Notamacropus eugenii: one gene and its partners. The protein of the gene in region 1 purifies or fractionates together with the protein of each later gene. This does not show direct contact. Links are inferred from orthologs where the notes say so. Each region holds a gene or a part of one and is shown in the gene's direction. Other genes may lie near its edges.

Evidence for each region.
Region 2: the proteins of SAP30 (region 1) and BRMS1L purify together in Homo sapiens (affinity purification with mass spectrometry; 4 studies listed by BioGRID and IntAct, with this or other methods). This does not show direct contact. The link is inferred for Notamacropus eugenii from reciprocal best matches to the Homo sapiens genes SAP30 and BRMS1L.
Region 3: the proteins of SAP30 (region 1) and BRMS1 purify together in Homo sapiens (affinity purification with mass spectrometry; 3 studies listed by BioGRID and IntAct, with this or other methods). This does not show direct contact. The link is inferred for Notamacropus eugenii from reciprocal best matches to the Homo sapiens genes SAP30 and BRMS1.
Region 4: the proteins of SAP30 (region 1) and SUDS3 purify together in Homo sapiens (affinity purification with mass spectrometry; 4 studies listed by BioGRID and IntAct, with this or other methods). This does not show direct contact. The link is inferred for Notamacropus eugenii from reciprocal best matches to the Homo sapiens genes SAP30 and SUDS3.

What each region holds. Positions count from the first base shown.
Region 1 is NC_092878.1:87,835,499-87,843,605, forward strand, and holds the start of SAP30 (histone deacetylase complex subunit SAP30), read left to right. Parts: upstream 1-5,017; 5' UTR 5,018-5,145; coding exon 5,146-5,487; intron 5,488-7,747; coding exon 7,748-7,873; intron 7,874-8,107. UniProt on the Homo sapiens protein: Involved in the functional recruitment of the Sin3-histone deacetylase complex (HDAC) to a specific subset of N-CoR corepressor complexes. Capable of transcription repression by N-CoR.
Region 2 is NC_092872.1:328,079,810-328,087,055, forward strand, and holds the start of BRMS1L (breast cancer metastasis-suppressor 1-like protein), read left to right. Parts: upstream 1-4,231; 5' UTR 4,232-4,509; coding exon 4,510-4,651; intron 4,652-7,246. UniProt on the Homo sapiens protein: Involved in the histone deacetylase (HDAC1)-dependent transcriptional repression activity. When overexpressed in lung cancer cell line that lacks p53/TP53 expression, inhibits cell growth.
Region 3 is NC_092873.1:18,947,593-18,955,364, reverse strand, and holds the start of BRMS1 (breast cancer metastasis-suppressor 1), read left to right. Parts: upstream 1-4,762; 5' UTR 4,763-5,196; exon of another isoform or gene 5,197-5,946; intron 5,947-6,122; exon of another isoform or gene 6,123-7,193; intron 7,194-7,772. Other genes in the region: B4GAT1 (beta-1,4-glucuronyltransferase 1), read left to right, coding at 1,662-3,389, 3,520-3,711. UniProt on the Homo sapiens protein: Transcriptional repressor. Down-regulates transcription activation by NF-kappa-B by promoting the deacetylation of RELA at 'Lys-310'. Promotes HDAC1 binding to promoter regions.
Region 4 is NC_092875.1:27,137,258-27,144,268, reverse strand, and holds the start of SUDS3 (sin3 histone deacetylase corepressor complex component SDS3), read left to right. Parts: upstream 1-3,971; 5' UTR 3,972-4,066; coding exon 4,067-4,202; intron 4,203-7,011.

The sequences.
Region 1 (8,107 bases):
TATCCACTGTGTGACCTAGTTACATGCCAAAAACAGTGTTATAAAATATTTGCCCCTCCCTCCAAACACAGTGTACATTTTTTCTCACAAATGTACATAGAGTCCAGGGAGTAGAGTAAGAGAACAGTAATAAACTTAAAAACATAATGGCAGTGAAGCATATTTGTAGGTAGTATAACAGATCTTGAAGTTCTCTTTCTCCAGAGTCCTGAGGAGTTCACAGCAGGGAACACCTTTGATGACAGACAAGTAACTGGTTCTCAATTGGAATGATTCCTTGAAGGACATAGAATTTCTACTAGGGAAGCTGATCCATTGCAATGTGGACTTTGCTACAAAGTAGTTTTGTATTTGAGAATTGGAATCTTACAAATATGGATAACAGTTCGCAGTTTATTGGAAAAATAGCTGACTAGGAAGTGCATGGACATTCTGACCCTAAGTCAGAGTGAGGCCTCTGAGAGAGACGTAGTCTTTGGTAATCAGGAAAGAGAGAAGAAAAAAATGAATTAAACTTGGGGGCATTGGTCAATGAAGTTGGCATTTTAGGTGGTACAGTGGGTAAACTACTGGACCTGAAGTCAGAAAGAACTGAGTTCAAATTAGATATTTACTAGCTATATAGTCTTGGGCAAGTCACTTAACTTCTTTAAAGTTAGTTTTTTCCTCTGTGAAATTTGGACCATAATAGCATCTTTCTCATGGGTTGTTGTGAGCATCAAATGAAATAATATTTGTATAGCACTTAACAAAGTGCACACAGTAAAAACTATGTAAGTTCTAATTCTAGTTATTACTATGTTGTTATCTGTGTTTTACAATGCTTGATGTTTGGAGTGAGGAATCTCCTTTAGGAAAGGAAATATTCATTCTTGCTTCTGAGAAACAAGCAGACCAAAAGGACTTTTTACTCATCAGTGAGTGGATATTTTAGGGTTTATGCCTATTCTAAAGATCTATGGCAGAGAAGCCTCTGCGCTTTAAGCTAAAGGAGCAATGGCTAAAGGCGCTCTTCTTGGGAGAAAGAGTTTTGCTCCTCTCTTGAAGAAGAGATAAGCATTCCCAATTAAGCCAAAAGCTGTTAGTAAAGAGAATCTCCATAATCTCAGGCTCAGTGGGGCTGTACCTGGCAAAGACTAGCAGGAACCATGTTAAGCATATAAAGCAGAGAGCAGACCAGGTAAAGGGCAGGTTGAACTGACATCTCCAAAAGGAAATGGAAACTGTGCGGCATCAGAGTATTAGTGACCTTCCAAGTATGTGTCTTCACTACATGTGTTGGTTACATGCATCCTTCTACATGCTTACCTTGACCATATGTGTTCTATGCATGAACACTATCAGCTAGGTGGTACCATGGAGAGAGTGCTGGACATGGAGCAATCAGGAAGATTTACCTGAGTTCAAATCTGACCTCATACACTTACTAGTTATAACTCTGGCAACTCATGTAACCATATAATCTGTCTGCCTCAGTTTTCTCAAATACAAAATACCTATTTCCCTGGGATGTTGTGAGGATCAAGTAAGATATGTATAAAGTGCTTAGCAAAGTGCCTGGAACATAGTTGGCATTTAACAAATGGTCATCACTTCTACTCCTGTCTTCTGACTCCAGTCAGTCAACCGGTAATCATTTCTTAAGTACCTACTATGTGCTAGGCACAGAGATACTCACTGGAAACTTCACACCAAGGACTTTAACTACTGCATTGTTCTTTTCTGCCCTCTGGGACCAAGGATCCCAATACTACCTCTCTTCCACATGCTATCCCTTCCGACACTGGACAGCTACCCTCCAAGTCTTCTCTTCTCCAAGCTAAACATCCCCAGTTTCTTCAACCAATTTCCATATGTCATGTTTAGTTGGAATATTCACTATGTGAGGGGAATGGTTGAAGAAGAAGCTAGAAAGGTATGCTGACACTAGATTGTGGAGGTTCTTGAATACTAGGAGAAGTATTTTTTATATTTTATTCAATACGCAATGAAAAGGCATCAAAGATTTTTTAATATTTATAGAGCAGTCATGCAGTTTTTTTTTAACTTAAGAATGATGTTCATAATAGTTGCTGCAATAACAAATACTCATAATCTTCATGCCGTACGGGAGAAAAAACTTTCTATATAGAGAAATCAAGCAGGAAAAAAAAATCAAAATGGGATTAGGTAAATACACATTTATTAAGCACTTACAATGTTTCAGGCATGGTGCTAAGTGCTTTACAAATATCTCATTACAGCCTCAAAACAACACTGCAAGATAGGTGCTATTATTATCTCCATCTTATAGTTTTGGAAACTGAGGCAGATAGAGGGTAAGAGCAGTAAAATATAGAAGACATGTGGAGGAGGAAATAGGCTGGAGGCAAGAAATGTAGCTTTCTTGGTATAGTAGTGGAAGAGAGAAGATATAGGACCTAAAACAAGATGATTGTAGGGGGAGTGAAAAGGCTGGTGAGGAATGTGTGTGAAGATAAAAGTGATACTTAAAAGACAGAATTATTTGGACTTACTGGTTGACTGGATAGGGGCTAAGCGTGGGTCAGGGAGAGGGGTGTCACAGACAACTACCCAGATGACTAGATGTTGGTGTCATCAACAGAAATAGAGAAGTTAGAAAAGTGACATGAGTTGGGTGAGGATTTGATTTACTTAAACACATTTATTAAGTGTCCATTGTGGACTCACCCAGCTCCAGTGAAATATGGTTGAGATTTGGATTAGACAGGATAGACAAGGTCCCTGCCTCATAATTCAGTAGGGAATATGACAGGGCAGCTAGGCAGCACCGGAGATAGAAGTCAGGAAGACCTGAATTCAGATCTGAAGAAGTCACTTAACCTGTTTGTCTCATTTTCCTCATGTGTAAAATGAGCTGGAAAAGGAAATGGCAAACCACTTCAGTATCTTTGCTAAGAAAATCTCGAGGGGTCGTGAACAGTAGAATACAGACGAAAACGACTAAACAAGAGGGAATATGACACACACAAACAAAAGCAAGAAAGGATACATAACAAGTGCTGGAGAGGGAAAGTGTTATTTCATGGGATTGGGGGAGAGGGATGGTGGTGACATCAACAGAAATAGAGAAGACAAGGAGAGAGACACGTTTGGGGGAAGATATTCAACTACCAGAGATTCTTACCTTTTTTTGTGTTTTGGACCCCTGTCTGTCTGTTGAAGCCTACGTATGCTCAAATTTTTTTAAAACATGTGTAAGCTAAAATATATAGGATTACAAAGGCACAGTTATGAAAAATTTTTAAGAGTCCCTGGCCCCAGGTGAAGAACTCCTGAAACCAATCAACCACCCACCCAACCTCCTGGGGAAGAGGCGTTCGGTTTAAGTTCGATATAGGCTAGGGTTTCCAGTGCTCCCAGGTCGGGATGTCCAGCAAGCAGCTGGATCTCCCGGACTCTCGCACCTCTGAGGAAAAGTTTTAGAGGTGGAAAGAACTGAACGCATCTAACCAAAAATGAAGAGATTTGAGCGCTCCCTTCGCAGTCAGGGTGTGTGACTGGTTCAGCTCGTCTGAGGATGGCAAGGAAGTGAGTGGGCAAAGAGAAAAAGGCCTACAGCCCAGTCCAGACGGAGCCGGCAATCCTCACTCCGTTATTAACATGTTCTGCACGCCAGCAAAGACGGAACTTCCATCTGACCCCCTCTCTTTAAGCCTGAGCAGCGAGGTGGGGGTGGGGAGGGTGGGGGACAAGGCCAAAGAAAACAGGACGGTCACAAAGACTTTCAAACTTTCTGCCGAGCCGCGTTCGTGTAGCTGGAGCCTTTAAAAGGATAAACGGGCTGGTGCATGTCCACGCCCCCTGCCCTCTCTTGATTTGGTAACCAAGACTCTCTCCGCCTCTTTGTTTTCCGGACAAGTTGTTAGCTCCGCCCAAGGAAAGAGGTGGACAAAACTGGCAGGCTTAGTGTGCTCGGATAATGCAAAGGTTATATAAAGCTTACCCCCGCCCCCGCCTCGTCAACTGACTGGGAGAGGATGGGGAAGGGGGGCGCGAAACCCAGCCGGGTTCGGGTTGCGACTCTCACCAGGAAACCCACCTGGCTGTGGGCAAGAGTCCCCGTTTCCCTAGCTCCCAACAAGCCGTTGGAAATGCGGGGGCTGGAGATCCGGGGAGAGACTTGGGGCACTGTCCACTGGGCAGGATACCTGGACTCAGCGGCAGGAGGTCCCGGGAAGGGCGCTCCGGTCTGCGGGGCTTTACACTGAGCCAAGGGTAGCTCGGTGCGTGAGAGGCCCCGGGACCCTTTCCCCACCTTCTCCACGCCCCCTGCCTCCTTTCCCAATGCACACACTTGGCATACGGGGAGCGAAGCGAGTGCCCAGCGGGGCACCTCGGGCAGCCTGCCTCCCAGCGATCACCCCAAAGTGGGAAAGTCTAATCCGGAGAAGCCGACCCTGCACTTCCACTTTTCCCAGGCAGCCAGGAGAGAGCTGAGAAAGAGCCAGGCCTGCCAGCATGTACCTGCGCAGTGCACTTCGGTCTTAGTAGTTCTTCATCCGCCCGGGCGAGCCAAAGCCGAGAAGAAATAAAGTATGGGGTCGAGGGAGGTGGAAAGAGAGCCGGAACGGACTACATTGCCCATAATGCTTCATTCTCTGAGGTGGGAGGGGTTGGAGAGGAGAGTGTTTGTGTTAGGAAGAGGCAGGGAGGGGCCGGCGGAGCGGAGGAGTGTCGCGCCTGCGCACTAGCCGCGGGCTGTGGAGAGGCGGAGGAGGGAAGGGGGAGCAGCCTAACAGCTGAAGAGTCTCCACATGACAGAGTGAGCGCGGTTGGAGCCGGACGCCCCTTCCCGAGCCGGGACACGGAGCCTGCCGGCCCGGGACGAAGAGCAAACGCCGGGCCGGGCGCAGAGGATTGTCGGGGTGGTCGTCGGCCAGTGCGGAGTGAGTTGCCGCTGGGGCCCGGGCCGGAGCGGGACCGCTCCGTCCGCCCAGCGCAGGTGCCTCGGGGGCCGGGGAGCGGAGCGGGGACCGAGGCCGGAGCGCAGGCTGCTGCCTCCCCCTCGCTCTCCCGCCGTCCGGTCCGGCTCCGGGTTCGCCGCGGCTCGGAGGGGTGCGTGAGCGGAGGCGAGAAGGGGGCTCCCCCGGCCGCCGCCGCCGCCTCGGAGGGGAGGCCACCATGAACGGCTTCCCCCCGGACGAGGTGAGCCGGGGAGGGGACGCGGCCGCCGCCGTGGCCGCCGTGGTGGTCGCCGCTGCCGCCGCTGCCGCCGCCGCCGCCTCGTCCGGGGCGGGCGCCGGGGCCGGGGCGGGGGCCGCGAGCGGGGCGGAGGTGCCGGGCTCCGGGCCGGCGGCGGCTGCGGCGGGTCCCCCTGGAGCGGCGGGCCCGGGCCCCGGGCAGCTGTGCTGCCTGCGGGAGGACGGGGAGAGGTGCAGCCGGGCGGCCGGCAACGCCAGCTTCAGCAAGAGGATCCAGAAGAGCATCTCCCAGAAGAAGGTCAAGATCGACCTGGACAAGACGGTGAGTGACCCTGGGGCCCCGGCGCCTGCGGGCGGACTTGCGGGAGCGGCGTTAGCCAAGTCACCGCAACTCCTGCGGCGGCATCGGGAGCCCCCTCTTTCCCCATCCACCCTCTCCTGTCTTCTTCCATCGCGTTCACCTCCTTCTCCCATTCCCCCATTCACCTTTATCTTTGGCCCCCGTGCCCTTCCACCCCGTCCACCTCTACGAACTTTTCCCACCTCCTCCTTCCCCTCCTCCCTTCCCCCCACCCCTAACTTCTCTCATCCCCCCGTCACCCCTCAGTCTTCCTTTGCGCCCACTTCTCCCCCTCCTCTTCCCTTCCTTCTTCCCCCTCGGCGTCTTTTGGGGCACGATTGGGAAGCGAAACAAAGCGGGGGAAGCGAGCAGGGGAAGAGTTGTTTTCCTCGCCGCCCCGTGGCCCAGCCTGGCAGGGAGGCTCCTTTGTTAGGCTGCCCGAGCTGGGACGTGGAGATTGGCCCGGCTCGTGGTTGTCCCTCGGTGCTGTGTTTGAAGCCGCCCGCCTGGTCCGGGACAGCCATGGAGTCGGCGGTGGGGGAGCGGGGCGGGGGGCTGCCTCCACTCTCTTCCCCGGACACACTCGTGTATACACACACGACACACACGACACGGAGAGAAGCCTGAGCTCCTCCCACTGTCTGTGGGGGCTGGTGGACAGGGACCTGGGCATTGCCTCGTGGGTGTGTTGCTCGTAGGTCTTTGCCATTTCACGTTCTTGTTGGCAGACCTCCGGGGCTGCCCCCGTGATCGTGTCCGAGGTTTTTAGAAGCTGGTTTGATCCGTTTAGTTTGTCTGCCTGGAGGAAGGTGAAACAACTGTTAGCTCTTTCAAAGGCCAGCCAAAAACAAGCCTCCTCCTTCCTTAAAAATAAGCACGCTCTTTCCTGAATCTTAACTTCCTCTGAGCTTAAAAATCCGTTCGTAAGGGTCTGTCGAGCAAGTCCTTCACGTAAGACAAAGGATCGCCCTTTAGACTATGTGTATTTGTTGAAAAAGTGCAAGAAATCAACTCACATCTGGTAACTGACTAGTATTTAATAAGACGCCGTGCGTTTGAGGCTTGGGGAAAGAAAAAATGAATGATGACATCCCCTCGAGGAGCTTACGTTGACTGGGTTTATTTTTAAAAGTAATATAATAAAAAGTTGATAGAATGTGTTGGGGCCAAAGGAGATCTCTGAAGTACCGAAAGAGAATGTGAGGAGGGAGAAAAAGACTCGTAGCTGAAGGATCTGGGAATGCTTCTCGGAGGAGGCACCTGAGCTAAACCTTGAAGGAATTTTGATTGGCTGAGTGGTAGAAGAGCCTGCATTCCAGGAACTGAAACAGGAACAGGCCAGGCCAGCAGTGCACAAAGAAGGCTTTTCCAGCTCAAGGACTAACTAGCAGTCCAGTTTGGGAACCTAAAGTATAGGACGGGAAGTGATATGAAATAATTTGATTCTAATGTCAACATACAGTTTTAAATAGTGTTACAATCGAAAAGGTTATAAGTAAATTAGTTTGTTTAAAAGTTAACTTGTATTTGTTTCTACGAGTTTCATTTTCTTGAGTCATGGAAAGTTATCTTGAAACTATTGGGAGGGTAGATTCCATTGGAAACAGAAATGTAGACTCGGTGATAATCCAGTTTATTAGGATCTGAATTATGAATAAAGAAACTGGAATTAGTAGTTAACTTTTTTAAAAAAGTTGCTATCTACTAAGTATTTATGATACCCTGATTATAAGTTGGAAGTTGTGTTTGGAAGAAAGAAGGGGAAAAATAGAGAACATGTTGTACTTAAAAAGATCCTCTCTAGAGAAAGCAGTGTGCTACTCAAAAGAGCTTTACAGTAAAAAGAGCCTTTCTTATATTTGAGAGAGACAGCCCTAGACTCATTGCCCTCCCATAGCATTTTGATGCCAGAAAATAAAGGCCTAGAAAAAACTTCTATTGTCTCTCTTCAGCAGCATACCATTTCTGAAATAGACTAGTCACAACACAACAAGGTAAAGTGCTCTTTCCTTTGTATCAGATGAATCGCGGTGATTTCACATGAAGGATTCTGGGGGGAAAAGGAATATGATAGAAATGAAGACGTCCAACTTATAAGTTACTTTTCTTATAACTTTATCCTTAATAATTCATTATAGCATATGGTACTTCCAGATTAGAATCTAGATTTTAGTTTAATTATGTAATAATGAGCTCTGTTGGAGACTTGGGTTTTTTTTGATGATGTCTGTTTTCCCCCCAGGCAAGACACCTCTATATTTGTGACTTTCACAAAAACTTAATTCAGAGTGTTCGAAACAGAAGAAAGAGGAAAGGCAGTGATGATGATGGAGGTGATTCACCTGTGCAAGATATAGATACTCCAGAGGTAGATAAGTAGTTATTATATTTTTTTGTTTTTCAATTCAGCAAATATTTATTAAATACCTATGTCATGAACTAATATTCCTGCAGTGAAATAATTAAAATGCATGTTATTGTTAATAGTTATGCCTGCAAGTAGGTGAAGTTTGACTTTGTGATATTTTCTGTTTTAAGTCTTAATTTGATGTTTAATGTTTCCCATTCTCCTATAAAGAAAAGGTACTTTAAATCAATAATA
Region 2 (7,246 bases), on another chromosome or scaffold:
TACCTACACATATGTATGTGTACATATGTGTGTGTATATATATACACATACATACATATATACCCTCTAACTACCCTAAAACTGAAAAAGGTCTGATGAGTTACAAATAACATGAATGTAAACACTTCAACTTTAAAGATTTCCTTAAGGTTTTTCTTTCCTGTTTACATTTTCATGTTTCTCTTGATTCTTGTATTTGAAAGTTAAATTTTCTATTCAGCTCTGGTCTTTTCAGCAAGAATGCCTGGAAGTCCTCTGTTTCATTGAAATTCCATTTTTTTCCCCTGAAGTATTATACTCAGTTTTGCTGAGTAGCTGATTCTTGGTTTTAATCCTACCTCTTTTGAATTCTGGAATATATTCCAAGCCCTTCGATCCCTTAACCTGCTAAATCTTGTATTATCCTGATTGTATTTCCACAATACTTGAATCGTTTCTTTCTGGCTGCTTGTAATATTTTCTCCTTGACCTGGGAATTCTGGAATTTGGCTACAATATTCCTAGAAGTTTTCCTTTGGGGATCTCTTTCAGGAGGTGATTGATGAATTCTTTCCATTTCTATTTTGCTCTCTGGTTCTAGAATATCAGACCAGTTTTCCTTGATAATATCTTGGAAGATGATGTCTTGGCTTTTTTTTTTTTTCGATTTTCAGGTAGACCAATAATTTTTAAATTATCTCTTCTGGATCTATTTTCCAGGTCAGTTTTTTTTTCCAATGAGATATTTCACATTGTTTTCTATTTTTTCATTCTTTTGATTTATAATTTCTTGATTTCTCATAGTCATTAGTTTCCATTTGCTCCATTCTAATTTTTTTTTTATTTTGTAATGTTTAACAATCACTGCCATACAATTGTGATTTTATCCCCCCCACCTACCCCTCACTCCCCCCCTCCCTCCCCACGACTGCATACAATTCTGTATAGATTCTACATATACTTTCCTATTGAGTATATTTTCACTATAGTCATGCTATGTAGTCAGACTAAGATAAATGAAAGAAATCGTATAACAAATCAGAACATGATACACAAACACATACACATACACAAACATGATCTGCTACAATATGTGAGTGACTTCCATATTTCTCTCTCTGAGTGTGGCAGGCATTTTGCCTTGAGATCCTCCATTGGGTCCATTCTAATTTTTAAAGAACTATTTTTTTCAGTGAGCTTTTGAACTTCCTTTTCCATTTGGCCAATTCTGCTTTTTAGAGCATTCTTCTCCTCACTGGCTTTTTGTACCTCTTTTGCCATTTGGGTTAGTCTATTTTTAAAGGTCTTATCTTCTTCAGCTTTTTTTTTGGGTCTCCTTTAGCAAGCTGTTGACTTGCTTTTCGTGATTTTCTTGCATTGCTCTCATTTCTCTTCCCAGTTTTTCCTCCACCTCTCTTACTTGATTTTCAACATTCTTTTTGAGCTCTTCCATGGCCAGAGACCATTGTATATTTTTTTGGATGTAGAAGCCTTGACTTTGACGTGTTTCTTTGATGGTGTGCTTTACTCTTCCTCACCTGAAAGGAAGGAAGAAAATACCTTTTTGCCAAGAAAGTAACCTTCTATAGTCTGACTTTTTTTCCCTTTCTTGGGCATTTTACCAGCCAGTTACTTGAATTTTGAGTCCTTTGTCAAGTGGAGGGTATACTCTAGGGACCTGTAAGTTCTTAGTTCCTCCAAGGTGGCACAGTCAAGGGAGAGGAGTTTATTCCTCTCCTGGCCTGCGCTCTGGTCTGTGAGCAAACACAAGCACTCTTTTCTGCCCTGGAACTGAGTAGGATTCTCTCTCCAGTGCTACCACCAGCTCTACCATGCTAGTGTTCTTCCTCACTCCAGGACTACCACTTAGGACTGAGATCCAGATCAGCTGCTGGATTCCCCCATGGTCTTTAGACTGAGGACTCCAAAGTGGATGTTGCTACCTCAGTGGCTGCTGCAGCCCTGGATCTGGGGCTGGGGTTCACCTCACTCCCTTCTCTCCCAGGTGAAAGAGCTATCTTACTGACCTCTGAAGTTGTCTTTGACATTTGTGGGCTGACAAATCTGGGAACCCCAGCAGCTACCTGTGATTCCACACCCTGAAACCTTCTCCAGTCATTTCCGTGCTGCGAGGCCCATGCTGAGCTTCGCATCGCTCTGAGCCCTGTGAGATAGACCTTCCCTGTCAGCCTTCCAAGCTGTCTTGGACTGAAAATCTGTTTCACTCCTTCATTTTGTGGCTTCTGCTGCTCTAGAATTTGTTTAGAGTAATTTTTTACAGATATTTTATGGACTATGGTGAGGAGAGCTTCTACAGATGCATCCTTCTACTCCACCATCTTGGCTTCCCCTCTCCCCCTCCAGGTACATTTTTTCTTGCTTCTACAATATATTTATGATGTTATCTTTTATATCTATCACATTCCATTTGGAATTTACCTTAGTTATATGGAATGAGATGTTAAGTCTACATATAATTTTTTCTACACTACATTTCAAATTTTCCAGTAGCTTTTGTCAAATAGTTCTTAGCTAGTAATTGTGATTTTAGGGTTTATCAAACACTAGGCTATTGTGTTCATTTGTTTCTGGATGTTATGTACCTTGTCTGTTCCATTAATTGACCTCTCTATTGTTTAACCAGTATCCATTTCCCCTAAGCTTAACTTTTTAAAATATTATTTGTTAATTCTGAACTTAAGCAACAAAGATAATTTTCATACTTACAGTAGAACAAAAAAAGTATTGTATATGAAATTGTGAATCTGTTTTATGCCACATTTAAAAATGTGTATGTTTATACACACATACATATTTCCACAAATTATTTTAAAAATTGTCATCTGTGTCTATTAATGCTTCTGAACTTCCTTGTGTTCTGTTTATTTGAAAATAGTTCTATTGCCTCCCTCCCCCCCTTTTTGGCATCACCCTTACTAGCCAATCTCTCCCTCCTCCACCAATTCCCTCAATTAAAAAAAAAGAAAACAAGGAAAACAACAAAAACCACCCTTGCAAAAGAAATCCACACAGTAGCCAAATCAAAAAATGCACATCTGTTTCTGTACTTTGAGTCTTCTCTGTTAGGAAGTGAATAATATCATGTTTCATCCTATAGCCTCTAAAGATATGGTTGGTCATTGCATTGATAAGAGTGCTTTAAGTTTTTCAAAATTGTTTTTCTTTACAATGTTGTTTTCTGTATGTATTTTTCTCATTTATCACTCTTCACCATCTCATTTATTCCAGGATTCTCTAATATTCTCTTTCCTCATTTCATAAGGCGCAATATTATTAATATTAACTTAATGTTAATATTGCCTTGATGGGCACCACACCCTTTAAATTGTATTTGTTTTTCTTTTTCTCTTTTAGATTCCTCTTCAGGAACAGAAATGTGTTGCTTCTGACTATCCTCTTCTCAGTTACTCTTATGCTTTACCTCCTTCTTCACTATCCCCTCTTGTTTCTGTGGCTGAGAGAACAGAATTGAAGTTTTTAAAACAATTATTTGCATAATTCTATGTATTGTGTAGCCAAATCATATAAATTGAGATAGAAAATACAAATTTATTATCTCAGTAGGACTGCAATTTAGTGGAATGAGCACCGGCCTTCCTGTAAGTAGGCGGTCAAAACTGGTAGCCATCACTTGGATCATTTAGAATAAGACTTTCTTTTTACAGATGAAGGAACTGAGGCCAAAGATATTGAGTCATATGTTCTGAGTCACACAGAGGTTAAAAGACTTGTCCAAGGATAGAACCAAGTGATGAGAGCCACTCTCAAACCCACATCCTGCCTCCAAATCCAGTACTTTTCCCACTATACTCCATTGATAGTGAGTTTGGTTATTGCCCTTACTCTGCCACTAACTTGCTGTGAGATCTTTGTTAAATTACTTAATTTTTCTAGGTCTTCATTTTTCTTGTCTTTACATAAATTAGGGGTTGGATTACATTAGTCTCTAAGGTTTCTTATTCTAACAGTCGGTGAAGTTATTGATACTAACAATGAGGTTCTGAACCAAGGTGGGTAGAGGAAATAATTTTCTATTTCTGATAGACTTATACAGTTGGGGGTGGGGTACTCAGATGGCAGCTGTTTAATGGGAAAATGGAAATAGTTCACGTATGTATCAAATATGTGCTTCTGTCTATAAATGAGATTTGAGTGTATGTGATTGGTGCTTTATTGGGACTTGAATTCCAGTTATGCCAAATCACCAGGGCTGAGGCTGTGAAATCCAGTCAACTCGGGTTTCCTTCGCAGAGACTACAACTCCCGAAAGGCAACGGGCCTTCGAAGCTTCAACGTGCGGCCAAGCCCCGCCTCCCAGGCTTCATGGAAGGGGTTCTCCAATGGCAGGGCTTCCATCGCGGGAGCCGGCGGGTTAGGCTGTGAGTTCCAGATAGGGAGAAGACAATTCTGGGAGAAGTCGTGTCGCTTGGAGTGGGGTTGCGCACATAGCCGCACGGAAGGGGCCGTAGCCTGCGAGGAAGAGAAATAAACGCCGGGGGCGACTAGAAAATGCCTGTCCATTCCCGCGGGGACAAGAAGGAGACGAACCATCACGATGAAATGGAGGTGGACTACGCCGAGAACGAGGGAAGCACCTCGGAGGACGAGGACACCGAGAGCTCGTCCGTCTCCGAGGATGGGGACAGCTCAGGTAGGTGGTCAGATCTCCGGCCGCCCGGCCGGGCCTCTCTGCCCCAGCCTCACGTCTGGTCCACTCGCCCCGGAAAGGGGGTAAAAGAGAAGGGAAGGGGCGGAGACTCCTTCCCAGGCCTGTGCTAGGGACCCCGCGCCCCTGTCCCGGCGTCCCTCCGCCCTCTGCGGGGCTGGGAAGGGGAGGAGGCGCCGGCAGCAACTCCTGTACGCCTACGCCGGGTCATGGGTCCCCACAGCTGGCGTGGGCAAGCGGAGCGGAGGCGTGTGGCCCTTCCTGCGCGGAGGAACGCCTTTACACTCTCCGCTGCCTCTGGTCACTTGGCACGTCCTTGCCCCGGCAGCCGGTGGCGATCGCTCCTCCCCACCAGGCCTCGTTGTGTCTGCCCGCCCCTGCCTGCAGCCGATCTGGCTCGGCCATCTCCCCTTGGGTGGGTGCCCCCACGCCCCCGGAGTGAGAGCACACTTTCCTCTGTCCTAATGCCGTTTTTTTCCCTCACCTCTACCTCCAAATCAACCAGCCCACCAGTAACGTTTCTTGAGTTTCCTCTAGAGTATTTAGTAAGGGATGATATGGTCAGCCCTGATCACTTGCAGCAGAATAGAGGGTGAATGGAGTGAGTAGAGGATTGAGGCAGGGAGACCAGTTAGGAGGTTATTGAAATAATCTAGCTTATGTGGGAGAGGTAGAAATAGCATGATTTGGCCACTAATTGGATATGTGCTCTGAAGGAAAGTGAAGAATTCAGAACCTCTGATACTATCCACAGCAGTGACTGGAAGAAATAGGGAAGTTTGGAGGAAAGATAATGAGCTCTGTTTTGAATATGTTGAGTTTGAGGTATAATCTGTTTGGAAATGTCCAATAAGTAATTAGTTGTTGTTGTTACGCAGGACTTCAAGCTCAGAGGAGCTGCAACTGGATGTATAGATGTCTGAATCATCTGCCTAGAGATGATAAAGCAATGAAATTGATGAGGTCCCTAAATGACCTTGTAGAAAGAGCAGAAGAGTCCAGGATTGGAGATCAACTCACAGTTAGGAACCATGATTAGCCAGCGTAGTAGAATGAGGAGGAGCAGTCAACATGTAAGAGAAGAACCAGGAGAGAATAATGTTTCAAAATCCCTGGATAAAGTATCCAGTATCCAGGTTAAAGTAGCAATGTCAGATGCTGCAAAGAGGTCCAAGAATGACTGAAAAAAAATGCCATTAGAACCAACAATTTAGAGATCATTGTTAACTGTGTAGAACAATTTCATTTGAGTTATGAGATGAAGCCAATAGAGAAGACTTGAGTGAGAGGAGAGGAGGTGGAGGCAATGGTTAGTAGACAGCTTTTCTAGGCGTTTGACAGAGAAAGGAAGGATGGGTATCTTGAGGGGGTTAAAGAAGGTTTTTTTTAAGCATGGAGGATTCTTGGACAAATTTTGAAGGAGCCAGTATATAGGGAGAAGTTGAAGATTAGAGAGAGGAGGGAGATGATTGAGTTTGTAATTTGCTGGAGAAGAAGGGATCAGAATAATAGCATTTGAAAGTTGAAACAGTCTTCAAGCAATGTTATAGTCCATATGTGAAGGAATTCCTACTATAACATATCTACCAATGCTCATCTAGCGTCTGCTTGAAGATCTCCAAGGAGGGGGATCCATCACCTCTTGAAGCAACCAAGTTCATTTTTGGACCTCTCCAATTGTCAGGAAGTTATTCCTAACATTAAACCTAAATTGACTTCTTTGTAATTTCTAGCCTTTGCTCCTGGTTTTGTCCTCTGTGGCCAAATAGAACAAATCTAGTCTTCTTCCACATGAGAGCCCTTCAGATAATTAAATTTACCTATCAGGTTCTACCCCCTTAACCTCCCATTTTTTTTTCTTTTGGCTTAAACATTCTCAGTTACTTTAACAGATTCCTATGTGTCAGGGACTTGAGACCTTTTACTATGTTTGCCCTTCTCTGGACACTCAAAAGTTTATTAATATCCTTTTAAAACGGTGGCATCTAGAACTGAACAGTGTTTCAGATTAATTCTGATGAAGGCAGAATATTGTTGGTTTATACCCCGCTTTTCCTAGAAGCTGTGCCTCTTGTTTATGAAGCCCAAAATTACATTAGCTTTTTTAGTTTCCATATCACACTTCTGATTAATATTGAGCTTAAGCCATTAAACCACCCAGGTCTTTTTCATCTTATAGATTCAGCTAGATCCTTACTTGATCATCCATTTAGCTATCATTTTCAGCATTGTGTCATCTTCACATTAGATAAACATGTCTTTATCCAAGTCACTTATAAAACTTTTAAGTAGCACAGGGTCAAGTACTCATCCTTGGATTACTCTACTAGAAACCTCCTGCCTAGATGATATTAAACCATTAATAGCTACTCTTTTTAGTCTTGCCATCCAACCAGTTCTCAAACCGTATGACTGTAATATCATTTAATCCCTATCTCTCCATTTTCTCTATAAGAAAAGATTAGGTAATTTGTTAAAAACTTTATTAAAATTGAAGTAAATCATATCTACAATATTCTTCTCATCTACTAGTTTAATAATCCTGTCAAAAAAAAAAGATGAAATTAGTCTGGCATGACC
Region 3 (7,772 bases), on another chromosome or scaffold:
GTATGGATTGGGTTAACTGGTCTCTGGGCTGCCTTCCAATTCTGAGATTGTGACAATTCTGACAATTCAGTTCTGACTCCAATGCCAGCGTGCTTACTTCAGTATGGGAGGGGGTGGTACATAGCAGCCTTAATGTAATTAGCTTTAGAGGGGGTTTTTAGCAGTAGGAAGCATTCTGGATTTGGAATAGGGCGCCCTCTGAATTCTGAGGCGGTTAGACTAAGTGATCATCTCAAACCCTTCAGAGCCTGGAATCAGGAAGACCTGAGTTCAAATACAACCTCCGACACAGTCTAGCTGCGTGACTGAACAACCCATTTGCCTCAGTTTCTTCATCTGTAAAAACAGGGATAATAACAGCACCTAATTGGCAGGGTTATGAGAATCCAACATGAAAATGTCCTCCTTAAGATGCTAATAAATTCTGGCTGTTTCTGTTCTGGTGGTGGTGGCCGGGAGCAATCAGGACTGGGCATTGACTCTGGCTGGCTGTGAGGTCCAATGAATTCATGAGCTTCCCTTTTCTTCCTCAGTTCCTTGGCCATGGGTAGGGAGAGCCCTGGTTTGGCCCTGCCTTCTTGAGGCTGAGTCCCATCCCAAAGATTATCACTGGGTCAGATCTTCCTCTGGGGAGAGGGTCACTCCTCTGGGGCCCAGCTTCAGCTCTTTCCACAGAACAAACACAAGGCACAAAGTTCCCTCGAAGCTTAATCGGTGGGCATGCTTTTACTAAGCACCTACTGTGCGCCAGGGACCGAGGCTGCAGAAATTGAAAGCTGCTCCCAAATATTATCTTCTTCCTAAGGGAGGGACAACGTGTGCACGTGTGTGTTTATACCCGACCTCAACAGGAAGCCCCATGTCCATCTCAGGGCTCTGCCCTCTCGGTGTCCAGCAGTGTTTGCTAAGTCGAAAGCCAATCCCAAACCCAGATCGAGATCTCCCTGCTAATCTTGGGCACTTGGGGCTACGGAGCTTAGGACAGGAAGACCACGAGTTGGACAGAGCCCAACAACCACCACGACTTCCCTCGGAAGGTCCCTCCTTTCTCTGGGATCTGGTCAAACTGGAGCCAAAATGTGGGTGGTCTGAGTCTCTCCTGCGAAGGGGAGGGATGACGGGCATCCGTGCCTTTCTCTGGCTGTTTTCCCCAAAGCTCCTAACACGCGAGAGCCTTCCGAGGGAGCTGAGGAGGAAAATGACTGCGGGGCCAGCGGAAAATTGGAACGACGAGGATGGGATTCGAACCCACGCGTGCAGAGCACAATGGATTAGCAGTCCATCGCCTTAACCACTCGGCCACCTCGTCCCGCCGCAGGCTGATTTCTCCGCGCAGCCCCTTGTTCCTGCGTCCGGCTGCGGAGAGCACCGCGCCAGCCTTTCCCCTCCTCTGCGGGCCGGGCGGGGGATCTCTGATGCCAGGAGAGGCGCGGCACAGGGACCCCTGGGAGGGGCTCGTTTCCTGCTCCATGCTCGCGTTTTCCTTTCAAAGGGTGGCCGCGACTGCCGAGTGACCAGGAAACATCCCTCCCTCCGCAGGCCTCTGTGGATAGCTGTGGGCACGTCCCTCCCCCCACCCCCCGAAAAGATTGCGGGAGTGCAAACTAGAGTGGGAACCTGCAAACCCGGGCGCAGGTGTCAGGGTGTCCTTCCACGGTCACATGTGTTTGCGACTCCAGCTTGGCGCGCCCTGTGCGGCCGAAAAGGGGGCTTGCCGGTGTCGCGTCCCCTTCCTGGCAATTCCTAGGGAGCCACGAGCCTTTGTGCCAGGGAGGACACGCTGCCTGAGGCACTGCCTGGAAGTTGCAAGCGAAGCCTCGAGCGCTTCCTTCCCCCCTTTCTTTTCTGCAAGGGAGGAAGGCACAGGGCAGTTTGCCAGCCCACCCCTAGGCGCCTTGTTCCCCTCCAGAAAGGTTGGGTTTGCCAGCCAGGCCACGGGCCCCTCTCTCTCGTTCCTGTTAGAACCTGGGCATCTCTACCCCCCAACACACACACACACACCGCACATCTGCGTGGGCCACACACAGCTGCGGGGCTCGCCGTGGGGCGCGCGGCTGCAGTGCGTCCTCCCGCTGGGCAGAGGGCGAGAGTGCGCTCCGCGGCGGCCCCCCAGTGCCCGGCTGGCCACAGTCTCAGTAGCAGGGATAGCGGCGGCGGCGGCGGCAGCTGCATCCGCGGTGCGCTCGCTCGCCCGGCTTGGCCTCCCTCCTCCGCTCCTCGCCTCCTCCCCAGCCTCCTGCCCCGGGAGGCCTGGGCGGCACGCGATGCCCAACCCGCTGGCAGTGGCGGCGGCGGCGGCGGGCGGCGGGCACGCGGCGGGCCGCTGCTCGGCCTACAAGCTGGCACTGGCGGCGCTGCTGGCAGTGGCGCTGCTGCAATTCGTCTACCTGTCGCTGCTGGCCGGGCTGCACGGGCGCGAGCAGCGGCGCCGCTACGGGCAGCTGTTCCCCGGCGGGGCGGCCCTGGGTGCCAGTCTGCAGCGCCGCGCGGCCGAGAGCGCCAAGGAGCAGCTGCGGGCCGTGCTGGCCGCCGGCGGCGCCCTGGACGCCAGCGGGGACTACCGCGTGTACCGGCACGTTCTAGGGGACCCCTCGCGCCGCCCGCGCGACGCCCTGCTGCTCGCCACCCACGCCAGCCTCAGCAACCTGGGCCACGTGGGCACGCTGCTGGAGCGCTGGGCCGGGCCCTTGGCAGTGGCCGTGTTCGCTGCGAGGCCAGACGAGGCGCAGCTGGCCACGGTGCTGACCTACGCGCTGGGCGCTCTCTGCACGCAGGCCGTGCGCGACCGCCTCACCATGCACCTGGTGTGCCCTGCGCGCACCGAGGCCGCAGTGCCTGACCCGCGGGAGCCGGGCGAATTCGCACGCCTCAGCAGCTGCACAGATGTGTTCACCAGCATGGGCGCCCGGAGCCGCTCAGGTCGCAACTACGCGCTGGCCACCAACGTCTCCTACCCCAACAACCTCCTTCGAAACGTGGCCCGGGAGGGCGCCGGCCATGCCCTCGTCGTGGACGTGGACATGGTGCCCAGCGATGGGCTTTGGACCGGCCTGCTGGAGCTGCTGGCCCTGGGCGAGGGCAGGGCAGGCCGGGCACTGGTGGTTCCGGCCTTCGAGATCCGCCAGGGGGTTCGGGTCCCCCGCACCAAAATCGAGCTGATGCGCTTCCTTAAGATGGGGCACGTTCGCCCATTCTATGCTGAACTGTGCCCTCGATGCCACGCCCCCACCAACTACTCTCGATGGCTCACCTTGCCCCCAGGGGGACCCCTGCGACCTGCCTACCGCGTGACCTGGCAGGACCCCTGGGAGCCCTTCTATGTGGCCGGAGGCGCAGTGCCCTCCTACGATGAGAGGTTTCGGCAGTATGGCTTCAACCGCATCAGCCAGGTGCCGGTCGCTCTCTCCCTGGGGTGGGAGGGAAGGGGCTGACAAAAGGTGTCTGGTAAGAGCTGATGGGGGTGGCAGGAGGATAACCAGGGCCAGTTTGACCGTTTCCTCTCCCCCTCTTCCCTCCCAGGCCTGTGAGCTCCACGTAGCAGGGTATGAGTTTGAGGTGCTGAATGATGCTTTCCTGGTCCACAAGGGCTTCAAGATGCCAGGGGACTTCCACCCCCAGAAGGAGGCAGAGAATCAACGGAATAAAATCCTCTTCCGCCAGTTCAAACAGGAGTTGAAGATGAAGTACCCAGACTCTCCCAGGAGATGCTGATCTGCCGACCCACCTAGAGAGCAGCCTCCAAAGGCAGGGCTGGGGCCTTTGGCTCTTCAGGTTTCCCCCTCAAGCCTGTGGGAGGCAAGAGGGGCTAACCCAGTCCTTCACCCTGGGGGTGGGCCTTTTTTAGGTGGGTGATGAGCACTGATGTGACAAAGCCAAGAGGTAAGATTTTTTGGGGAGTGGGGGACAAGAAGGGATTTGGAAAGGGAGTGGGGACTTTGGGAGAAGAAATAAGCTTCATTCAATTCAGGAAGCTTGAATTGTGGTTCAGAGATAGCTGCCAAAAGTCTTCATTCTTCTCATTTTACATATCCCTAGGTCCCTGCCCTTTATCTCACCACTTATCTTGGGCCACTCTCCTCCCCTCTCTGGGCCTCAGTTTCCCCATCAGTAGAATGAGAGAGTTGGACCAGATGACCAAGGTCCCTTTCACCTCTGAATCTGATGATTTAAGGGGAAGAAGGAGGTTGAGAGTCCTGGACGCCAGCCCCAACATTGCCTCGGACTTGTTGTGTGACCCTTCAGCAAATCCCTTCCTCTCCGAGTCTGTTTACATGTCTGTAAAAAGAGAGAGCTGGAATAGGAGACTTGTTCCAGCTCTAAGATTTGGCATCTGTGACTGGCACGGCCCTGGGAATCAGGCTGGGTGGGGAAAGAACCCCCTTGGTGAGAGGAAACCCCCATCCCAAATAGGTACAGAGCCAGGAATTTTGACTTGGATGACAATATGCCAATAAAGCAGTGTTCAAGTGCACCAGTGTCTCGGTGTTGTTCCCTTCCAGCGTCATCGTGAACGTTGGAAGTCATGACAGACCCAAGGTCTGAGCAAACCACTCTGGAGCCTCAGTTTCCTCATCTGTTAAACGGCAGTAACAATTGTGTGTGTAGTATTTTCTCTCCCCGGGTGGTTGTAAGACCCAAAGGAAAGACTGGCTTTACAAGCTGCAGTACAAGCTCTAAAGTCCTATGTAACTGTAGGTATGTTTCTTTATTACGTCCCTTTCCCGGGAACCTCAGTTTCCCCCTCTGTACAAAGCCAGTAGTAGCCTTAGGGGGCGATGGGAGTGGCTGCTGCTCTAGCCATTTGCCCCGAGCGCGGGGGGCGGGGCGGTCAGGCCTGGACGGGCCCTGGGGCTGCATTCCCGGAGCGCACGCCGGAAGAGGAAAATTCCCACGGTCCTGCACCGCCGCAAGTTAACAGGCCGCAGGAGCGTTCCCGGTTGTTATGGAAACGCGGGGCGCCGACGGCGTCCCAGAGTCCCTCGCGGCTCGGCGCTCCTTGATGACGTAGAACAGCGGTTCCCGCTCGCTCCTCGGAGGGCGGGTCCCGGCGTGTTCGGCCCCTCCCCGGTGGGTGGGGCCCTGGGCGAGACTTCCGGGACACTGCCCGCAGCCGGCCGCGTCTGTCTCGTCCCCTCCCCTCCCCCCGACCCAGGACCTCCCGGAGCGGCCGCCTGGATCTTGGACCCCCCGCGAAAGGTTCGTCCCGGCCGCGCCCCCCTCCCTCCCCGCGGCGCGAGCGGTGGTAGCGTCCGCCGGGGAGGGTTCCATAGGCCCGGACCGGACCATTGCTCCGGGCGGGGGGAGGGTGGTCAGGAGCCCCGCGGCACCCGGCGCCAGGGGAGCCCCTGGGCCTCTCTGAGCCTCAGTTGCCTTCTCTGTAAAATGGCCCTCCCCGGCTGCCCCTGGGGCTGCCGCCCAACGTAGGCTTCATGCTGGGGACACCCCGGCCGGCCCTGCCCTGGGGCTCACCGTCTGCTGACCCCCGGAGGCTAAAAGCGGAGGGGGCCCCTCCGGGAATGGAGACTTGCGATACACCCCGAAATCAGAGAGGTGTCTGTGGGGGTGGGGTGCCCCCCGCCGTGGCCACGTCCGAGCGGAGGCCGGGCTGCCCACAGGCCGGAGTGCCTGGAGAATTGGGGCAGGTTTCAGCCAAGTGCGTCGCGCGTGGATGCTTGGAGAGAGAGGACCATTCGGTCCGAAGCTGCCCATGACCAGGAGCGGCTCCGTGCACTGGGCAGGGGTGCCCAGGGGGCACCGGGGACCTGCGCGTGGCCCCAGGCCCCTTCCCTCGGATCAATGACTGGCCGAATGGTGCCGTGTGTGCAGGATGTTTGGCCGCAGGGATGCCACCGTAGAGGCTGCCAGAGCCAGGATCCAGCCTGGGCTAATTTAGTAAGATACCTAGGTAGGGACGATGGGCAGCGGTTGTGAGAAAGATCCGGGGGTCTGGAGGAGATCGAAGGACCCAGGATGAGTCAGCAGCCCCCCAGGTGGAGGGGACCCACCCCTCTGTGTTCTCTCCCAGTCACCAGACCTCAGGCACACCTCCTCCTCCTCCTCCTCCCCCTCCTCCTCCACCTCCTCCTCAGCAGTATGGTACTCAGTTCTGGGGGTCTGCTTACTATTTATGAAGGATAAAGAAGCTGCGGAGTGTCCTGAGGTGGGCAGCCAGGATGGTCAAGGTCCCTGGGTCCAAAATGTAGCTGGTGGAAAATAGGGAGAAAAGCCTTCCCCTGCCCCCTCCAGTCCAAGGCCCAGTCTGGGCACAGGGGCCTGAGGCACTGTGAGGACCAGGCAGATTCTGTCTTGCAGCAGGAATGAGACTGTGGAAGGAGCAGGACCCGGGTTTGGGCAGGGTTAGCCTAGTTCTCGTTCCCATTCTTCTCTGTAGGGTACAGATAATAATAGCACCCACCCCCCACAGGTGTGGTGTGGACCAAATGAACTAATCTAATTAGAGGTGGCCCCCGTGGGTCAGGGACTAGGCCTGGAGTCAGGAAGACCTGATCCAGCCTCAGACACTTACTTGCTGTGTGTGATGTGACCCTGGGGAACTCACTTAATTTTTGTCTGCCTCAGTTTCCTGAGCTGGAAATGGAAATAATCGCTCCTACATCCCAAGGTTGTTGTGAACACTGTAAAGGATTTGCGCTGTCCCCAGCACCCAGTCGGTGGTTCTTTTTTTCCAGCGCTCTGGCAATGTTATTTGTTATTAACCTTTAAGGGCACCGGAAGAGCTAATTTAGGGTCTAAAAAGGTCTTCTGTGGAAAGCAGCTTCCTGTAACTCATCTGCATGGAATTTCCTTGGGTCGTGTGGGCCCCTGGGAATCTGGGCTCTAACTGCTTAGATGGGGGAGCCTGGGGGGAGAGGTGGGCAGTTCGTAGATTTCCCTTTCAGAGAAGGACAGCTGGACCCCTTTGGACTTAGACATTTCTGGTGAGGGCCTGGGACTCTTTAAATGGGGTCTCACTTTAGAGTCCAGCTTGATTTTGCCTTCCTTGGTCTGTGGTGTGGCTCAGCCAGAGGCTGGGAAGGTAAAGATTTGATTGTTTTGGGCTGGGCTCACCTTCTCCCAGGACAGACTGGAGGCTGAGAGCCAGGGTCATCGTCCCCCAGCCTGGATCCCCTGGCAGGAGCCTCAGCTCCAGGCTGGTTTTTTCCTCCCTGCCCTGTCACCACCTGGTGCACCACCTGGAGGGTGGGATAGAGATTTCTTTGTTTGACCTTCATGCCTCCCGACTCATCTTTACCCCTTGAACTCCCTCTCTCCTCTCTGCCTTTGCCATTGATGGCTTGCCCCCCACCCCCACATCTCTTACCTTCCCTGGTTCTCTGGTGTCTCAGACACCCCTCCCCCTCACCTGTACATGAGTACACATTATGTACACTTGAATGGGAGCTCCCTGAGGGTAACCCTAGATGGGGAAACTGAGACCCACCAGAGGTGACTTGATTAGCCCAAGGTAAAAAGGACATAGATTTCAACTCAGAAGGGAGTTTAGTCCAATCCTCATTTTACAGAAAAGGAAACAGACAAAGAGGGGCAGTGACTTGTCTGAGTGTCTGAGACAGGATTTGAGCCCAGTTTTTCCAGATCCCAAGTCCAGCCTTCTGTCCAGTACTCCCTGCAATCCCTGTGAAATGGCAAAGCCAGGCTTTGAAGCCAAGCCTTCAGACCCCATGTCTAATTGGGGCACCCTGGAAAGTGCTGGACACGGCCCCCAGAGAACCTAGTCCTGTGTCCTCTTATGAAGATTGAGGAAACTGAGA
Region 4 (7,011 bases), on another chromosome or scaffold:
AACACTCTACTTTTAATCAATTTTGGCATAAATTCCAATCTATGTACTAGCCTTGACAAGTATGCATTTATGACAGTCTTTACCATTAATCGGATTTGCCCGTTGCAGTCTGAATGGTGAGAGTGTTTGTTTTGCATTTGGGGTTGTTTCTTTGGTTTTTGATGCCCGTGCTTTTCAAATTTGGGATTTAGAAAACAACGTATAGGCATGTAAAACATTCTTTAATTACTTTTAAACCTTATTCTCTTCCTCTTTAAATCAACATTTGTATTTGGGGATATGGAAGTGTCCTAGGTAGATACTGATGGTACCAAAAGTTTCATTGAAATGAATTTCTTAGGAGAGGGCAGGTAACCTGACCTAGCAGAGTATTTGAACACTGTTTTGGGTTGAGGATAGGAAGAAGAGGAATTTCAGTGATTTCTTGAGATATTACATCAAGAAGATAGTGTGGAGGATGGATTTGGGGAAATTCCTCTTTGGGGAGAGCGGGTGAGTTGTTTATGACAAAATGAAAGCAGATGATGAGGAATTTAGGTGCAAATAGAACACACATACACAATCTTTTCCTGAAGTCTGTAGTCAAATTTGGAATCTTGAGTTTAAAAATAGAGAAGTGGGGTAGTGAGCCCTGAGATTGACACTGGTTCAGTAACATTGTTAGAATTTGAGAAATTCCTGGAAAAACATTGTAAAATTAGAATATAATTTAAGATTCACCCCATTCTGGACAAGATTATATTTGAGTATCTTTTCTGGGCAGACAAATGCTTGGTAATACTATCAGAAAAGACTGGGGTTTACATTGGAATAAGGCATGAAACTGCAATCTGAAAACAAACAGAGGAAAAGTTTGGCACAATGAAAGGCCAAGTTAGGCTGAATCAGGGGTGGGGAGCTCTAATTCTGGAGGCCTTCTAGGTCCTTGGGTACTGCCTTTTGACTGAGTGCAAGTTGTACCAAACAAATCCCTTTGGGATCACTGTGAGATTTGGGTTCAGTCAAAGGGCTGCACTTGAGGGCCTAGGGGACCACATGTGGCCTCAGGGCCGAAGATTCCCCACCCCTGGTCTGGATAGAGTCAAGGTTGGGAATTCAGAATCCTTGGGTTCCACCCCTGCCTTTGCTATTACTTTGTTTCATTTTCCCCTCTCCATAAAGTAAAAAAAAAAAATTATTTATTTATTTATTTTTTTTACTAAATTTGGTGCAAACATCTGTGGAGATATGTTCATGGTAAATTGTGTGTCATTTTGTTCTAGCTTTGCCTTGACCTTGGGCTAAACCACTTAGCTCTTCTCAAGGCAGCAGTTTCTTTATCTGTCCTATGAAAGGTTTGGTCTGGAATTATCTGAGCCCCCTTCCGGGCCCCTTAATAAAAGAATCAGCAAATATTTGCTTCATCCAGCTCTGCAATAGGTCATAAGTAACATAAGCAATCAGGATGAATTCATGTGCAAATTTAAATTTTTAGGTAAACCCTCCTTTCTAAGGAAAATGCCCACATTAGTTTGTTCTAACAAGTGTAACAAGATCTCATAGGTAACCCTGATTGGCTGTATGGTTAACAGGGCAGTAGATGGGGGCGAAACTTTTTTTTTGTTTATTGTTCAGTCCTGTCTTACTCTCAGTGACCCCATTTGAGGTTTTATAGGCAAAGATACTGTAGTGGTTTGCCATTTCCTTCTCCAGTTTATTTTACAGATGAGGAAAGTGAGGTAAACAGGGTGAAGTGACTTGCTCAGAGTCACTCAGCTAGTAAGTGCCTGTGGTCACATTTGAACTCAGGAAGATGATTCTTTCTGTCTCTAGGCATGGTGCTCTATCCACTGAGCCACCTAGCTCCTCCCCATCCTCTCTTTTTTGGTTACTGGTAAAAATCATCTGGAAAACATTCCTTCCTAGCCTTTTGCCCCGCCCCTCCACCTTTGCCCTCTGTTAAGCTGAAAATATTTGAATTGAGTTGTTTAATAAAGCCGTGATATTTATTTACCTCTTACTTGTCCTGTATTGAATGCCTGATATTCAAAGCAGTAGATCAGAAGTACAGACTTTTGATTTTCTTTTTCTGATTCTACACTGGGTGGGGCCATAGAAGATAGAATGCCAGAGCTGGGAGGGCCCAGGAGGACCCAGGCCTGCTGTGCTTTGAAGTGAGAGTCTAAGGACTTGGGAGGGAACCCAGGTTCTGCCGGTTACCGTCTCTGGACAAGTCAGTCAAGTCAAGAAGCATTTTATTAGGCTCCTCTTATGTGCTTGGCATTGTGCTAAGTGCTGGGGATACAGAGAAACCCTTCCACACCCAAAAAAGGCCCTGCTCTGAAGGAGTTCACAATGTCCTGGGCTTTCAGTTTTCTTCTTCAAAAGAGGGGCTTGAAATAGATGTAAAATGGAGACAATAAGTCTGGGAATATCTGCCTCCCCAGGTTCTTGTGGGGCTGCCATGAGATAAAGTCAGTCAAATACATTGTAAACTCTAATGTGGCACATAAATATCAGTTATTCTTTCCCTAAGAACCTGCCTCAGCCTTTTAGAACCTCTCGGGTGCTGTGTTCTCAAATGACAGCTCTTTCAAGAGGCCTTTCCTGCTTGGACACCTTCCTCTTCCCATTAATAATCATAATGATAATTACACCAATAATAATAGATAGCATTTATATAGTGGTTACTATCTGGCAGGCACTTAGCTAAGCACTTTACAATTATAGGGGGGCGGGGTGGGAAAGGAGAGGCTATTGTTATCCCCATTTTACAGAAGAGGAAACTGAGTCAGATAGTGATTTGCCCAGGGTCATTCAGCTAGTGTTTGAGGTTATATTTGAACTCAGGTCTTCCGGACTCCCCACCTGGTGCTCTATCCACTGCGCCCAGTAACGTGGTATTTGTTCTTTGTGAAGTTCGTTCATCGTCTGTCACTACTTACATCCTCCGTTTTCTATTTACTTTGCTATGAACTTGACTTCCCTCAGAATGTCAGTTTCTTGAGGACAGGGACTGTTTCCTTTGTGTCCTTGTCTTCCCCGGCACCTGGCACACAGAAGGAGTTTAATACTTGCCCGATCAGTTATTAGCCTAAAGGTCCCTTCCAGCTCTCCATAGACATCCAGACCTGGAAGGGATCTTAGACCCGCATGGGTCTAATCTGGTTTTCTTAACCTGGATTCCTCGGGACTCCCCAGCTCCATTCTAATCTTCAAGGACAGCCTTTATGTAAACGCTAGGAAGTCTGCAAAAAGCAGCTAAGCGCCTGTCGTTGGCACCTCTGCCGCAGCCTCCGGAGAAGGCAGCTACGGGAATCAGCGTGCCCATTCTACAGATGGGCACAGAGGGGTCTGGCCACCCCCGAACCCCCCAGGAATCCGAGACTCTCCTGGGCTGGCGTCCCGGGTTACCTTTCCTCCCAGCCCCATCCTCTGGCTTCCCGCCCGTAAGCGTTTGAACTTGGAGACCCGGGGCGGGGGCGGTGATCTTGACCCGGACTCGCAGCCCGGGCTCCGGCGCCGCCTCGTGGCCACTGGGGGAGGAGCGTCCTGGAGCTCCAAGGAGAGAGAGGCGGGGAGGGGCGGGGAGCGGAGGAGGAGCGGGTCCTGACCGCTCCGCGAGGCACCGCTCGCTTCGCCTGCTCATGCATAATCATGATTCCCACCCCTGGGGCTGCTAGAGCCGTCTGCACGGACCCGGCTGAGGTGGGAGCGAGAAGCGTCATGAACTCAGGTGAGGAGCTGGGGGTCTTCGCTTTTCTAGGCTGGGCGGGGCGGGGCAGGGAGCGGGCGGGATCAGGCGCGCGCCGGGCAGCCCGTGACCCGGAAGCAGCCGCGCGAGGGCCCCGTTGCCGAGCGCGAGCGCCGGGGGCGGGGCTTGGAAGCGGCGGCGGAGGCTGCTGAGGAGGAGGCGGCTCAGGAGGAGGCGGCTGAGGAGAAGGAGGAGGAGGAGGAGGAGGAGGAGGCGGCGGCGGCGGCGGCGGCGGCTGCTGAGGCGGCCGAGGCGGCCGCTCCCTGGGCTCCCTTCGCGTCCCTGAGTCCGAGGCCGACACCTCCCGCGGCCCCAGGCCCGGGCGGCGGCGCCATGAGCGCGGCCGGGCTGCTGGCCCCGGCCCCGGCCGGAGCGCCACCCGCCCCGGAGTACTACCCGGAGGAGGAGGAGGAGCTGGAGAGCGCCGAGGACGACGAGCGGAGCTGCCGCGGCCGCGAGTCCGACGAAGGTGCCGCCCGCCGGGCCGGGGGAGGGGAGCGAGCGAGAGAGAGCTGGGCGTCCAGCCTCGGCGCCTTTGCCCAAGTCGGGCCCCACGCCTGCAGTGCGCTCTCCTCGCCTCGGGCTGGGTCCAGACGTTCTCAGAGTGGTCTGGGGATGGGAGGGGGGCAGCCTTGTCAAAACTTTTTATTTCTGTTGTGGTAAATATCGATAGACTCCACTCGAGCCACAACTCTTTTGGGGGGAGGGAGTCCCTCAAATTTTAATCCTGGGACCGAAAAGTTGGAGAATCGTCGAATGAAAACTAGAGCCGTGAAGGAACCTCGGAGACCATGTCGAACCAGTTACCTTTGTTTGCAGCAGGGGAAACTGAGACCCATCCTTTCCTTAGAGCTTTTTAGAATCTCTAGATTTTACCTACTTAATTCTAAAGCTACTAATTGTGTCGTCAACAAGCATTTATTAAACACTCGCTGTTTGCTCGGCTGGCTCTTGGGCCAAGCCTCAGGAATCCTAATAAAAGCAAAACAAACACTCTGCCCGCTGGGAGCTTCCATTCTAATGGGGGAGACACCATATAAGGGGGGCTGGAAAGGGGTAGGTGTAAGCCCCCGGGGGGGGAAGTCCTTTCCTGGGCCCTTCCCCCTGCCTGCTGCTGGTGTCTCTTTTCAAATTACTTTGTATTTACTCTGGTATTTTCTATCCCCGACAAATTAGGCCCCTCCCCACAGTATTTACTTTGTATAGTTGCTTTGTAACATTGTTTCCCTCTGTAGAATCCTGTGCTCCGTAGTCATTTCTTAAAGCACTTACTGTGTGCTACGTTCTGGCGTGACAGGGAATGTGTTAAGAAGAATATAAGCTTCTTGAGCACAAAGGCTCTAATGTCATTTCCGTAAAAATAATTTTAGAAACCACAGGAAACGTTTAAATATGAAAAATAAACAAAAGCTAGATGGCCCAGTAGATAAAATGCTGGGCCTAGAGTAGAGCTGAATTCAAATTTGGCCTAAGACATTTCTTAGCTTGTGATCCTGGGCAAGTCACTTCACTTAGATTGCCTCAGTTTCTTCATCTGTAAAATGAGCTGTAGAAGGAAATTGCAGACCACTCCAGGATCTCTGTCAAGAGAACCCCAAATGGGGTCATGACAGACAAGACTGAAAATGACTGAACAAAATCAAACGATGAGTATGATAGTAGTATCTACCTCCCAGGGTTGTTGTGAGGACCAAAGGAGATAATATTTGTGAAGCTCCTCCATCCTAGCTATTATTATTGTTATTATTTGCTGTGTGGTGAAGACACCAATATCCAGCCTCTTGCTGTGTGACCAGAGAGGGGGGAAGACGTAGGGAGGATCTGGATTCTAGTGATGGCTTTCCCTGGGCACTTAACCTCACTGTGCCTTAAGGCACCTCTCTTAAGACTAAGTTGTAGGAACAATCTTGAGTGTGTTTTGTGTGGGCCAGTTCTGGGTTCCCCTGCCCTCTAGGAGCCCACATTTCAAGGGGCTGAGGCAGGAGACCCGCTGCAGTTGTGTATTTGTTTCCATTGATGAAGGAGATATCACTCACAGGAGTACTCTGTGGTGATTGTTTCCACAGCCCAAAAACATCCCTAGAACCTTGCCTGGTGGAAGATGTATAATAAATACTTAGTGAATAAGTAAATGACTTTTAATACTTTGCAGAGCTTTCACCTGGAAGTCAGATTAGATTTCTTCTGCTAGGTGGCACAGTTGAGAGAGCAGGGGTGGAGAACTTTCTATTTCAAGGCCACATGTGGTCCTCTAGGCCCTCAAGTGTGACCTTTTGAACTGATTCCAAACTTCTTGTTCTGTGAAGTTTGGATTCAGTCAAAGGGCTGCACTTGAGGACCTAGAGGGCCATGTATGTCTTTGAAGCTGCAGGTTCCCCACCTTTGAGAGCATAAGACTTAAAGTCAAGACCTGAGTTTGAATTCTTTTTCTCGCACTCAGTGGGTATGTGATCTTGGGCAGATCACTCAGCCTCTGCCTGTCTCACCGTCCTCTTTTGTAAGATTTGGATAATAACAATGCGTCCCTTGAAGTATTATTATGTGACTCAAAGTAAAGTGCTCTGCAAATCTTAAAGATTTGCTGTTTTATTTTAAACCTTAGCTTTAAAGGACTATATCCAAAGTACCTGTCATTGGCCCTGCAGTGGGTAAAAGCTGCAAAGAGGCAAATTTGGCTTTTACCTAAGAACTTCCTAAGGACTTCTTCATGAGTAGAATGACTTCTATTCTAGCTTCCAGCATCTGAAACACTGGCAGTCTTCTGGCTTTGGTGTCTCTGTTGGTTATGATGTAGAGAGAATTTTCATTTGTATTTGGTACTCTCTGAGGGTTATTCTAATTCTGAGATTCCTGGATTTAGAACCTGGGGGTAGGAAGTTTAGCTATTTTAGGATTATGGAGATTAGAGCTGGAATACTATAATAGCTAGCATTTAGTGAACTCAGAGATTAACAACCCAGTTCCCTCATTTTACAGATGAGGAAACTGAAGCCCAGGTTGTGACTTGCCTAAGGTCACACAGCTAGGAAATGACAAAACTGGAAATTGAGTGAGAATCCTTTTTGATTTCAAATTCAGTATGGCTTAGTATCAGTATGACATACATGTATTATACTTTTCCTTGCCAGTTTTTGGACCATCTCTGTCTCTTCTCTAACCTCTATTATTGCTGGATGGCTGAGCATTTCTGTTAATTAGCATTCAGAGACACTTGCTATTGTTCCCTAGACTTAAAGCTAAAAGAAACCTGTGAGGTCATGTAGTATTTGTTCAGTCAT